Caenorhabditis elegans: one gene and its partner. The protein of the gene in region 2 interacts with the protein of the main gene of each other region in a pairwise test. Each region holds a gene or a part of one and is shown on either strand. Other genes may lie near its edges.

What was found.
Region 1: the proteins of C09G1.4 (region 2) and gldi-7 interact in a two-hybrid assay, tested with the Caenorhabditis elegans proteins (one large-scale study listed by BioGRID).

Annotation. Positions count from the first base shown.
Region 1 is NC_003280.10:8,526,064-8,534,277, reverse strand, and holds gldi-7 (Sodium/potassium-transporting ATPase subunit beta-1-interacting protein), read left to right. Parts: upstream 1-3,055; 5' UTR 3,056-3,103; coding exon 3,104-3,223; intron 3,224-5,725; coding exon 5,726-5,958; intron 5,959-6,013; coding exon 6,014-6,482; intron 6,483-6,683; coding exon 6,684-6,806; intron 6,807-6,885; coding exon 6,886-7,368; 3' UTR 7,369-7,479; downstream 7,480-8,214. Other genes in the region: W01C9.1 (DUF148 domain-containing protein), read left to right, coding at 137-247, 315-425, 469-597, 874-1,077; mrps-18B (28S ribosomal protein S18-2, mitochondrial), read right to left, coding at 7,590-7,973, 8,035-8,115, 8,159-8,214.
Region 2 is NC_003284.9:15,992,902-15,999,370, forward strand, and holds the start of C09G1.4 (uncharacterized protein), read right to left. Parts: upstream 4,037-6,469; 5' UTR 4,021-4,036; coding exon 3,939-4,020; intron 1,538-3,938; exon of another isoform or gene 1,314-1,537; intron 831-1,313; coding exon 681-830; intron 213-680; coding exon 1-212.

The sequences.
Region 1 (8,214 bases), on a different chromosome or scaffold from region 2:
ACACAAACATTCCACTCGCAGTTTTCACTTCCATTTTGACGTGTTTGCTCCATACTCCGCCTTTACACTTAGATATCTCGGTATTTCTATATTTCATCTGCATTATAATAATTATTATTATAAGTTCTATTATCCAATGCTTTTTCTAATTCTCACAGTTTTTGTTGGTGCCCAGGCGGCCAAGAAACCAATGTTCGACGTTCGACAATTCAATTTGGACGAGGTCGGTGCATATCGGACTGATCAGGTTCGCTACCACACAAAACTAAATAAACAAAATGTTTCTTTATTGTTTTAACAATTTTATTTTTCAGATTACACTGGAACCCGCTCCAAAACCTCCATTTCTTATCAATGCCACCTCAGAAGCCATTGAACAGTTTATGGCAATATATCGGACTCCTGGAATTGCACAAATTCGAAAAGTATTTGTTCTATAAAAACGTTATGTATTGAAATTATTTTTAGATGACAGAATTAGATGTTCTAGTTGGAACTTTACGAACGGAAGTACAACAATCCTATAATGCATATAAAGCAGAATCAATTCTCTTGAAATTAGCTCAAGATGAACGGTTACAGGAAATTGCGGAAAAGGTATGTTTAATTAAAGTTTAAATGTTTTATATTTTTCTCATTGTATACATGTGCTCTGAAAGTATTCGAAATAGCTTATTTCCCACATTGAAAAAAACAAATTTTAATTGTTTTTCTTTTGATCAATTTTCAGAATTCCAGTTAATTCAACAGTTTTCCACAATAGCAAGGTTAAACAACTTAAGTGTTTTACTTATTTTGAATCTTCTAGATAAGTAAACATCTAGGTTTCTGTAATTTCTTTAAATCAAAAAAATAATTCCAGACATATTTCAGACGCATTACACAATCGTCCACTTGCAAGCTCTGAAAGATACAAAAATGGGAACAAATGAACGAAAAGCTCGAACTGAAATGATGTTCTCAGAGTTTAGTGATTTTGTGGTATCAGCTGTCAGTGATGAAATGAGCAATATATTGGATTTGGTGATGAGGCAAATGCTCCGAGCGATATTATTTACGGAAAAGCTCACAGTTTAATTGTTTCTTAAAGTGTATTTAACGTATTTTTGTTTATGGTGCTAAATTATAGATTGTATTTTGAATATATTGATTTAAAGATTAAAATAAAAGTTAATGTATTTGTAATCCAGAGAGCACATCAGTCAGGATAGGTGCAAGACATAGGTAAACAGATTATACCAATGTATTTGAACACACAACCGGACAAGAGACAGGACAGAACCAGAAACAGGTCCCCCGAATGTTCCGCGCATAAAACAGAAAATCTCCAGTTACCAGTTGTATTTATTTGTTTTTGTGTCGCTGTGCCGCCCGTTCAGAAAGAGCAGTAAAGTGAAGAGTCCTTGTTTAGATAATGAGAAGAACAACAAGTAGCTAATGGAACGGAGAATCAGTTATTAGCTAGTTTTGTTTATCCCGGAAAAAAGTGAACGAAAAAACGAGAATGTACAAATCAGATAAGTGAGGAAAAGTGTTTTCCGATCGAGTTTCGCCTTCAATGGAATTTTTATGCATTTTCATTTCTTTTTTCTATTGAGATACAATTAAATTTTAACTTTGTTGCCTTCTGAATAAATTTAGAACCTATTCGAACTTTCTTTTGACTAGTAAACCGTTTTTGAATGAGTTTTTGAACAGCTTACTGAAAACACGAGTCGTCTTTTGGAAAAATATAGCTTTAATAATCTAAAAATTATTAAAGTAACCTGAGTCTTCAGTGAGTCGCAAAGTTGGCAAAGTTATCAAATGCTGCATTTTCCAGAAACGGGTAACCAAGTTCTCGCACAGATCCGCCTAACTTACCATGAATTATCATTTCAATTCACCTCACACTCATAAAGTTCATGTGTTAAAATCCGAAAAGCACGATGTTCGGAAGCATCGCTTTCACTCTTCCGTATGTAAACTAACTCTCTCTCCCACAATTCGACCCCTCTTTCGACAAGTCAACCTAATACTTTCTGTTTTCTCTCAATTCTCTTTTCATTCAGTTCCGCAGTTGAGGAGGTCTCATCGAAACTGGGCGTGTCAGTTACCTTTTTCTCATTAATTCTGCGTCTCTTCAAACAGTTCCAGTGTCTCGCTGGCTGAGCGATTCCCGCGCTTTCGAAAGGGGTCCATTCGGGTATGTGTGTATATTCCCGATAGTATGCTATTATTACCTATAGAACTAGAGACTCAGAGAGTATAAGTTGAATTATTGAAACTCTATTGTTTTAGAAAATCTTTATCTAGTTCTAGAAGTATCTTACAGTATTTTTCAAACACTTTCAAACCCGTCTCATGAAACTGTCATGCTACAATTAAACTCGTACTTGAAAATTTTAATATTTTGAAACTTTTCATGTGACCAGTGTAGTTTATGAATTTTATTTTAAGCAACAACCTAGTTTTTCAAAGGTAAATTTGAAATTTTAACATTCTCTATTTGTAGAATACATTAGTTTTGGAATTGTTTCAGTTCTAGATTTTTTTGCATTTGGTACATTTTTGATCACTGTATCGAATATCATAATTTTCATTTCTTTTTTCTTTTGAATTTGTTATCATTTTATTAATTCTTCTCAAAATGTTCTTCAGTTAAATAAGACACTAGACACGATTCTATCAAGAATATATTTCAAAAGTGCTTTAGTGAACTCTTAGGCACCATCCATTCATTTGTTTATTTGTTTATGAAGATGATATTTGCTTCTTTTTCACAGCCATTTCCATTCATCTTTCTTCGTTTTTTTCTTGCCTCCGTCTTTTACAACTACCATTTATTATTTTCTCACTTTCATCCCTCGTCATTCATTTTTGTCTGTTCCCATTTTTGTTGATAAGCATGGTTGTCCTGCAGGACGACTATCATCATCCTATTAAATTTTGGTTTAAGTGCTTGCAAATTATTGTCTAGATGTTACTCATTCATTAGAACAATTCATTTATTTCAAAACTTTAATTTTTCAAATGATGCGTTCTAAATATTAGTATTTTTTCATATATATTTCAGACCCATATACAGTAACTAGTGTGTTCAGTTGGATGGAGGCATGAGCCGATGTCTGTTCGGTGGCTGCTCTCACTTCTACTTGCCACGTGGACGCTTCTCTCGATAGCACGACTTGTATTCGATTTGATTGGAAATCTTTGGGTCGTTGTCGTTTTTGATTTTGTGCAGGTGAGATGTTTGACCTGTCTGCGGCTTTCTAGCAGGCATGTCATGTAAATACCGGAGATTAAGTGGAAGAAAAGGTGGGAATAAGGTGGATATAGGATTGAGCACGGAACCGGATACCGTGTTGATCATTTGAAATTTGTAGATACTCGTATAGTACCAATGATCATGGAAAACAGATCTTTGGCTAAGTGCTTTCAAAGATTGTACTTTGATATTAACTTTAACACTTATTTCAGCACGTTCGGAAACGTGTTATTCGAATGATTTTTTGAGTTTTTGATGAATAGTGAATTTAGAAAAATGGTTTTGAAACTCTTTTCTAAATCGCCGGTGATGAAATTGTTAAAAATTACTTATAGAGTGCTAGAATCCCCAAATATTATGATAAAACTTTGAAAACATTTTGAAAATTTTGTATTTTCAGTAAGAGAGGCTTATTATTCAGTTTTCGTCACTCATAATTTTTGATATCGGCCAAAAACCCAGTTTTTTCGTAAATTTGGCAATACAACAAAGCTTCGAATGAAATATTTAAATTTGATTTTTTTTTAACATTTGGACGTTTTTTGGGTTATTTGAAGTATATTTAGGCAAAACAGAAGCCACCAATGACGCTATTTCGCCCTCTAAAGAACTCCAACCCAGATTCAGTTAAAATTTTTGATTAGTTGATAAAGATCTGCTAGAGCTGTTTGATGTCAAAACCATTAAAGCGAAAACTTTAGATACTATAACCATAAGTTTTGATTTCATTGATTTACCAGTTGTTATAATCTAGTTGATGAGGAGAGCTCATCTCACTGACCGAAGCATTCCAATCCGATGGCATTACCTGTGAATACCTGAACCTGTTTGCCATGGGATCTGGTCATCTCTCCTCTTGCATTTTCTCGTCATTTTCGATGAATACGAATAAACATCCCACAAATGTTGTTTGTTCCCTGAGCAAATAGTCCATCGTTTTCCCTCAAGCTTGTGGCCTTAGATATTGAAGACATTTCCCTGCTCAATTGTTCTGATAAAATAACAACGGGCGGCACCGCGTTGGACAAGAAAACGGCTCTCTTTTTGTTTCAAGTATCTCCTCTCCCGCTTGCTGTCAGAACTTTTCGGAACGGAAACTGAACAAAAAATGAATGAAAGGATCATACAGGGCAGCTTCCAACTTGATGCGGATTGGCGGAATTGACAGGGATAAACTTTTTATTCGATTCGATAATGAGTATGACTAGTGGATCAGTTTGTAATTGGATTAGGTGTGTCATGGGATAATATATTTGAAGAATGCGTATGGTTCTGAAAGATATCCCGGAATTTGTATGCAAGTAGGGAAAATTATAAGTATACTATAAATAGTAAATTAAATGTGATTAAATTTTCCGATATTTTGGTAAAATTTGGTAAATCATCACCGGAAAAATTAAAAGATCAGTCACATTCAATCTGTTAAATTAAATCAAGCTTGTTCGTTTCAACTTATCATAAATCTCTATTTCTCCTTTCTCAATCCTCTGCCCCCCCAAACCAAAACCGTTATCTCGATTTGCGCGGCATCGCGCGAACCGATAAACCGCTACCACTATACAACAATGTGACGCCTCTCAAAAGGAATTCATGAGATGGGAGTGAGAATGGTTATATCAAATGAATCATGATTATTAGAATTATTATTCGCATTCTTATACGGTAGTTTTCGAGAACAAGTAGAACGAGAGAAAGAGGATTAGAATGACCCTGAAAACGGAGGTGAAGGGCTAAGCTCTCTCCCGCTGTGACACAAAATTGGTAGAAAGAGAAGAAGAATGAAATGTTAATTCCCATTTGATTGCCCTTCTTCAAACTTTTGAAACTTTCAAATTAAAGTTTAGTCTTAAAGGGGTGAATTCGCGGGGGAGTAGTTTCAAAATAAAGCAATACTTTAATTTACTATTGGTATTGTACTTCATTGCTCCACTTCGAAAAATTATATCCAATTTCTACATATCATAACTTGAGCAATGGGGCACAGCACTGATAGAGAAAGTACAGTAGTTCGAGTGCACCAATTTCTATATCCAATTAAAGAAAAAATATGAATACATTAATATTCATAATAAAATATTTATTTCCAGTCTTATTATTAGTTCAAATCGCCCAACCTTGCCACTTTTGGCGCCATCATTCTGTACATAGCCATCTCAATAACCGTACCGCCCGTTATTTCTGACATCGTGATTAAATATAACATGAGTAGGTAGAGACACTCCTGCTTATTCTCTAGATAATTGCCAGTTTTTCGACGAAAAATTGTGTCTGACCTCGACTATCCTGTCTAATTATGGGCAGGGATCGGGAAAGAATGGTTTGCAAAGTTTACACAAAAATATTCATGTTTTTGAGGAAAAACTGGGATTAATGAGATTAAGATTTCCTAGTATTTCTAGAAGAACAGAAAATTTTCAGGGAAAATTGAAAGTGTGAATATCATAAATTGATAGGAAAGAACAAGTCGAATATTTTCAGATTGTCTTGCTGATCTCGGGTTTATTCGGTGCTACTCAAAAACGACGTCCACTTCTTTACACTCTCCTCTCATCAAATGCTCTTTCCGTTACAATCAATGTGCTCATTTTCCTATGGTATATCGGAGTCTTCGGAGAAATTTCAAGACCATATCTTTCGGCTGGACTACCGTACTCTTCTTCGTTTTTCTTAAGATTCACACCATATTGTGATGCCGAGTTTGATGTGATAAGGTGAGCGATTTCATTTATTCTAATTGGAAATATGAAATAATCAAATGATTTCCAGAAAGAAATGGGTTCAAAAACAGTGTCTCATTCCATTCTACTCAGTCGAAGCATCTCAAGCAATTCTTCATATTATTTTTGCAATCGTAACTTCAATTTTCTCGATCTTAGTGATTGTGGAACTTCGAAAGAAACCAATAAGATCAAATTCCCAATCAATTAACCATTATGCTCAAATATGTGCATCAAAAGTTGCCAAAGCTCCAAGTTCCACGAATAATTCTAGCAGTGGATACCTCAATTCACAATATGACGACTTAGGATCTTCGAGAGAAAAAGTGAAAGTGACAGAGAAAAAAGAAGTCAAAGGACAATTCGAGAGAAATTCAAAGAAGAAGAAAAAGAATCCACGTCCAGAAATGCCAGCTCCAGATTGTGCTCCGTGTTCTTCAAATAGATCATCAGAAGAAGAAAGTAATTTGGAGGATGTGTACACACAGCCAATTAAAAAGAAAATTATGCCGTTGAGAGTAAGTTTGTTTGTTTTGAATTGGTTAAATGTTTCCATTTTCTATAATTTTATACATGATTTTCAAGTCGTTTTAGGTAGAAACTTTTGGCTACAACTTTTGAAAACTTGATGGTTAATTATTAAATTAGTACAAAATGGTTACTGTAGTCATTTAGTTGAATAAAATATTTCATTTCACAACTGCTATATTTTCTTTCAGAGACCTGACCTAGAAGAAGAAAATCGTGGAACTAATGTCACATCATTAGTCAGCTTCGACCCAAAAAGTGCGACTCTTTTGCGAATACGTCAGCATTTGGAGGCAGAGCCATCTGATAGAGATGTGAGTTTTCATGAATGATTTTCTATACAAAATATTTATATCAAGAGTTCATAGTTGAAATAATATCTATAATTTTCAGACGCCAGACTACGATATGTACGAACGACTCCGATCAAGATCTTCTGGACACTCTGAAGTTGCACCGGCTTCTACTATCCCTTTGAGTTCTGACTATAAATCAAGAAATGCTTCTCAAGATTCGGTTCCTTCAATGTTTGCTCCGATGCTCAACTCTCCAGCCCCATCTTCTACAACTTCTGGATCTTCTTCTAGAACATCTGGAGCTTCGTTGGCACACAAAACTCACATTGTTGGGAAAGGTGGAATTTCGTTATCAACTGTTGATCCATCCCCGATTCTTTCTCCAGGAATACGGTTATCGGAGCAACTAGGAGCCAAGAATCAGTCTTATAAAAGTGCATTCAGGGTCCAGAAAACTGAAAATGCTCGTGTTATAAGTCACTATCACGCTCCCAACGAAATTCCACTTTCCAGTGATCCATCGGTTGTTGAGAATGAATCTAACTATCCCGTGATGACTAGTGGTGGACTTCTTGTTTAATTTTGACTCAAATCTCATGTCTTGCCGTCTTTTTCTAGGCACTATATACGGGTTTATTCTTTCTTTTTTGTATTCTTTCTGCTTTTTTTAAAATAAATGTTTAAATAATTGAGCTCAATTTTTATTAGAACCAACAACAAGTGATAACAAATTACGATAGAGACCTACTAAAATTCGAAGAAAATTGCTGAAAACCGAACACGCTAGGAAAATTAAAACAATTACTTTGCCTTCTTGGCAAATTTATCATGACGAATCCACCATTCGTCCCAGTCGTTGTTCTTGTCATTTTTGAATGTTGGGAAGTGAACAAGTGGATCTGGATGAATATCTTGCAGACGTACACCAGCTCTCTCAACAGGCTTTCCAGGTTCATCTGTCCAGCTTTTGTACCATTGACGATAATCAAAGTTTCGGAATTCTACTCCAAATGTGATTGTTCCATGTTCTTTTGCTTTCAGAAGTTGTGCACGAAGTAGCGTGTACTGTTCACGACATAGTCCACTCTTCAGGATATCGATTGGTTGGTCGGTGCCATCTGCCAAAAATTGTTCAATGAGACCTGGGTTTCGGTAGTCGAAGTATAGATATTCGTCACGGCACACCTGTAATTCGTGAATTTGTTTGTTATATCTGCAAATGTTAGTTGCTGTTACAAAAACTTACTGGACAAGCATGATTTAGATTGAATCGGCCGTGTTTATCAATGCAGAAAAGTCTTGGAGGTGGTTGAAGTTTCGATTGACCCTGAATTTTCAATCAATTTATTTATTTTTCGAATTCAAATTACCTTGATGTTTCTCTTATACCATCTGTAAATCGGAAGTCCTTTGTAAGCCTCTGCGT
Region 2 (6,469 bases):
TCCGCTTGACGTCGACGCGCCGCTGTCCACCTCATCGGCGAATCTGACTCGGTATTTGGCCTTCGTGGCCGTTGCAGGTGCTTGCTGTTGGGGTTGCAGTGGTAGCCGTCGGGGTGTGGTGCTGTAGCTGGCAATCTTGCGCGCCGAGTTTGGCGTGAGGTAGTCGGCCGATGAGTGACTACGGTAGTTCTGATATGCTCCAGGGGGGAGATCTGAAAAATGTGGAAGGTGACTACGAAGATGTAAGGATTTGATAACAAAACAGTACCGCAGTTCAAAAATTTTTTATTGACAATTTCATCCACTAAAAACTATGCAAATATTGCGCATGTATCGTGTTAAAAATCGACATGGGCCGTCCAAATTTTTAGCAACACTTCTGAGTTTTTTTTGTAAATAATTGAACCGTTTATAGAAACTCTTGCCCTCTCACGGGAAGTTAAGGCTGTCCCAATACAGTTTGATCTACAAAAAATGCGGGATTTTTTCCCTAAAAATTTGTATGTGTCAAAATGTGTCAGCACGCTCTTGGGCCATGCCAAATCAGATGAGATGTCTGCGTCTCACCTTCCGCATTTTCTGTAGATCAAAGCGAAATGAGACTTTCTGACTCCACTAGCAATGTAACTTTAATCTTCCTTTTTGCCTCAACATTAGAAATACCAATACCATTATCTCACCTGGTATCCTCCTCTGGGAGTTCACTTGCTGTCCGTTGACAGTACCGTTAAACCCTGTTCCACCAAACCCTGCAGCTGCTCTCGGTGAACCTTGATCACAATCTGCACTTATGCCACTGTCCGTGTCGCTGTCTTGTGGGGTGAGATACCCTGCAAATGAAAAAAAATATGAAAGTGCAATAACCTCTGCTATTTCATTTACTTTACTTTTACTTCTCCACCTCCTCTCTCTTTTCTATTTCTCACGGCCTTAAACCAAAAAAAAAGGGTCTGTTTGGGGGGAAACGCGATATGTCCGCATTATAAATGAGATAAAATGAAAATGAAAAAAATGGAAGTAGGAGCTGGAGCGGTAGTAACCGCCGACAAAAAAATGAAAATGTATAGGCGAAAAGAAACTGCAAAAAGTAGCAGCAGGAGAGGAAGAAGAAGTGGAACGTGACGTTTTTTGGTGGCGGCAGCAACAAGGGGATCAGGAGAGGAAGAACAATGAGTTTAAAGCATGTTTGGACAGAATTATTGATGACATCTACCGAAGAGTAGAGAGCAGGGGAGAAGAAAGAGGACGGCAAAACGAGAGTGCAACACCCCATCCCTCACTAAAAAAAAGTTTTGGCACATTTTTCTTTCGTTTTTTTTTTTTCGTCCACTCCCTCGTGCCTGTTAAGGGTTGAAGTGGTTCGGTTCGACCACACGGAGAAGTGAGGCATGCTCTCGAGGAGCACTGGGAATGCCTATATCTTTGAAAGTCTGAAGTCTGAAGAAAAACTGAAGCTCTTTGAAGCCGATCTGAAAATCTTTTGCATCATTTTCAAATGGTGTCAGGCTGTCCTAATACAGTTTGATCTACAAAATCGGCGGGAATTTTTTTTTCAGAAAAATGTGACGTCAGCACACATGGTTAGCCATACGAAATCAGGGGAAAAGTTCTCCCGCATTTTTTGAAGATCAAACCAACATGGGACACTTTGACCCCACGTGGTTTTTTTTATCAAACAAATCAGTGAAAAAATTGTTTTGCATTTCTAAAATGGTTGACTGTAAGTATATTTTTAAAGCAATTTTAAAGACATCGGAAGTAGAAAAAAAGTGCTGAACATTTCAGATTTACTTTTTTCAGCTCAATATGCTTCAGTTGAGCTTCATACTTTTTCAGTATACTGTTCAAAAATTATATTTCAAATCAAAAAGGTTCCAATCAAAATTCCAAGATCAAGCTCAAGTAAACACTGGTAGCGCTACGATTCTTTGCCCTCTTCAGCAACCAATGATTATTTTCAGAATGGGCTCTCCGTTTACACACTCAAAAAAAACGCGCAAATATTCTGCATCATGGGCGCTGTCTGAATGCTCTTCCTCAAAATGCAATAAGCAGGAATGGGTTGCGGGCAAAACGCAGAACGCACTTTTGTTGGGGTTTGTTGGACCAAGATCAGCACATGGTGCCGAGCTAGAAGTGTAAAAGTTCTGAATGTGTAGTACTGGGCTCTTCGGGAGCAAAAATGAAAAAGGCACACACACATACACAGACATAGTCTCGCTTGAAAAGGTCCACGAACACAGAGACTTGGCATTTGAGATGGGTTACAAAAAAAAACGCTGACCGCGCGCCGCGTCACTTGCTCACTTTCCGTTTTTCTTATTTTGAAAAGCTTGTCGTTTTGGTGTGTATGGCATGTTACACTGAAACTGAGAAAACTTGACGCTTTGTGGTGAGCGACAAAAAAGGGAGAATTACTTTGCAATTGAAAGCCAGAGATCAAATATCTGTTAGATTCGCTTCAAAATTTTGGAATACAAACGCACAATTTAGCAGTTAAATTCAATTGCTCCAAAAAAAATTTTTTCTACACTAACGTTTTCAACACTAACTAAGAATTACTCAAGACTTACCTAACGTTTTACCTAATTTGAAAACATTTATTTCACAGAGACGATTGAAAAGTTTTAAATAGCGGAAATGCGCTCCTAAAATTTTAATAGAGTTTGTTTTGTTTCAATGACTTTCAGATCTAAATTTTCCGAAATTAGTTCTTGCAGACTATTAATGGCCACTGGAGTTTTGGGGAATAGGCAAAAACGGGTATTATTTAAACATGGAGTAGACACTCATTATGATCTAAAAAGACCAAATATCTTAATAATACAATTCAAAAAATTTCAGGCTTTTCATAATTTCCGGTTAAACTTTGGCAAATTTTCAGAATTTTGAAAAATAAGAGCTTTTGAAGAAATCCAAAGCAATTTCACATGTTCCGGGCCCTACAATGTTTTAATCCAAATAATTACTGTATAAAAAATGTAGAAACATTTTTTTGGTCGACTTCCAAAATTATGATTGGCAAAAACTGAGTAATTGTCACTTTTTGACAATAAATAAGTTTCATTATGATATGTGGTCATTTTGGGACCAAAGGAGTGGTTTTTAACAACTTTCCCACTGGCGCTACTCCACTTTTAAAGAAAAATAGCGAAAAAATTTTGCAATTTTTTAAAACATTCCGTTAAAAAATACCAAACATTTTACCGAAAAAAATATAATGTTCATAATTTTTTAATATGTTACTTTGAAAATTCTGCAAAGACCGATTTCGGAGCATATTCACAATTCTAAACAAAAATAAAAAAAAAAAAACTCCAGAAGTAGTTACGTGTTTAAAATATCTTTCATATTATGAATATCTGTATCCATAAACTGTGGCTGAACTGAACTCATAGAAACATGTAAAAAACATAATTGTGCAAAAATGGCTACACCACTGCATTCGAAAAAGTACGTTTTTGAAAAATTCATAATTTGCCTCTTTTAGCTCGGAAATAATTCATGATGAACGAATACTAAATGACTAGAGCAAAAAACAGGAAAAAAATTGTTCAAACGGTTAAAAGAAATTATGTATTACATAGTAAATGTTCCAAAAAAAACGTGAATAAATATTTGTAACCTGTTTTTTAAGCAACAAGCGCCAAAAACATTTTCCAGTCGATGCACCATGTTCGAAATCTAGTATTCCACATTTATTTTAGGCATATGGTAGGTAATAACTTTGCTCTTACAAAAAATATTAGAAACAAATCACAGAAAAAAAACATTTTTTGCGAAAAAGACACGTATTCAAAAAAAGGTACGTCTATTGAAAATTCATAATTTTTCCCTTTTCTATTTGTAGATGACGAGCGAATACTGAATGACTGGTGCAAAAAAGAAGAAATTAATTTTGAATTTGGAAAAAAAAGTGAGAAATAATTATGACGTACCTCCTTGTTGATAAAACTGGCCACGCCCCAAATTTCGAGGTTTTGGTGGGGGCATTGGAGCCTGCCGATTTCCAGAAGACATTGTGATTTGTGTCTCTGAAAATTGTAAGTTTATAAGAGAACAATTTGAAAAAAAAGATAACATATCAGAGGTAAAGAAACAAATGATAACATCAAAGACCTGATGGGATATAATCGGCCTAGTTAAGGTATGTTCTCAATTTTTGGGGGCTGCGGAAAAGTAGGGGAAAAAAAGAAGGCGAAAAAAAAGCGAGATGGACGTAAAGATGTGAAAAGTGACACTGTTAATTGGATATATATGTAAAGTGGACACAATCGTGACTGGCACTGGTGCACGTACTGACGTCTTGGAAGTTTTAGGTGTGTTTTGATCAAGAGTAATTAAATATATAAGGGGGCAAATAGCTCAGTCGGTAGTGGTGGCCGCTAGCAATCTGGAGGTCACGAGTTCAAGTCCGGCCTCACTTCCTAGGTTCACCCAGCCCCTATTGGGAAGTGGAGCAATCCAAGACTGGATTATCGGCCACAGTCCCCGGCTCGGACGTGGCTTAAATTACAACCCAGTGGGATCACCACCAGGCAGTGTACCTGAGTCCCAGATCCGCAGTGCATAGCACTTGGAGAACGGATCGTCCTTTGACCCTTTAATCTTTAAATAGTGAAAAATAGCTACCCTCGTATTGTTAGAAATATCGGATTTTACTATGATGAGTAAGGAAACTGATTGAAAGAGCATCGGAAAAAAAGATTAAGAGCACGCTTTCAAAAATACAGCTTTCTTCCAAAATAACCAAACAATGCACCTAAAACTTTCTATTAAAAAAAAACAAAAAACAACTTGTGTCCCCATTGACAATTCAATGTTTGAACACCAACTTCGGCATTCGAACTTGAAGCAAAAAAAAAACAGTTTTTCTTCACTACTATCTCTAGAATGCACACCATTCGTGGGCACACCGACCTAATAGAACTGTCCCCAGGGACGGATTGATCACGAAAAGGAAAAGGTCATACAACACACAATGCAGTCGTTCAGAACAATGTGATAACAAGAAAAAAAATAGAAGAGTGGGTGTACAGAAGAAAAGCAAGGAATGTTCTGGAAAAGTGAAAAAAAACGAACTTGAATACAGTGTAAACATTACATAGAACTAGGATTTTTTGGCGAAAACATAGAAATGGCGAGATTGTTCAGAAGAGACCCCAAAAGCTTTTGATGATAACTATTAGGACCTCCATGGAAGCGGCCGACACTTTTCGGGTTCCGCGCAGCACTAAGCAGGAGGCGCGGCTCGCGGCACGAGGCAGACGTCGCCTGCATGAAAGCCCTAATATTTATGTTTAATAAAACCACTGGTATTGCAAACTTTTTCGTGATTGTCATTGGGTTTTAATTTTAAATTGAGGGTAATGACTATAAAGAGGACTATGAAAAATTTAACTTCAAAATTCTAAACTTCAAAAACTACCGCAATACCAAAAATGTGACTCACTTATGATCAGTATCTGAACCGCCAAACCCATTTGCATTATTGCTTGGTAATCTAACACCCGAATGGCGGTAGACACACACACACGTCAAAAGTTAGGGTTCCATCCCGTCCCCCTCTCGTTAAACACATGTTTAATCTCGCCAGATGGTTGTGATGCCTTAGTGAATGATGTACTTACTCTTAAGCGACGAACTTCTCTTTTTGTGCGAGCCGAAGCAGCAGGATGTACGTGATGTATCAGGAAACACATAAATCTATCGCGAAAAAATGGGGAGAAAAAGAAAGAAGAAGAATACTGAAAATAGCGAACAAAACTAAAGATTGATAATTTATGCAACGGGTAATAGATAATGGGTAAAAAAATACTTTTCAATTTGTCGGAAAACTTGTAATAAATGCGTTCCGATTAACAGAACTAATAGTAAGATGTTAAATTATTTCGCCACAAAAAAAATCTGATAGGACCATCTATGCACGTCATACCATTTTATTTTTCAAATAGTATTTCAAAAGCCGAGAAAAAAATAGGGGCTCACTATAGTTATCGTATCATAAAGCTTGATTTCTTCGAAAAAGACCGGAAACCTGCTAGTCCCCTCTGATTGTTAGTGACGCGTTTCATGATGCACTCCCTCTTCTCCGAGACTTTTCTCTTTTCAAATGTTTGTACTGATTTGAATTGAATTGCCATTCCATATCAGGAATAGCTGAGAGGGAGTTTGGGTGTGGTGGGCTCGGTAAGTTTTGAACTGGCTGGATTGTTTTATTGAACTAGGAACTATTAGCCATTTGAAAACAGTCAACGATTTTTCTATAAAAAAGTATAACATTTGTTCAAGTATATCTTTTTAGTTTGCTGTACTCATTGAATTTAGTAAAAAACAGAAGAAAAGCATCAGAACATTTTCAGAGAAACTGAAATAAAGTTTATATATAAGTAGGGTATATGGATTCTAAATTGGCATGTGATCAGCAAGATCTAAAAAATTTAAATTGAAAATTCCAAATCCTCCAAAA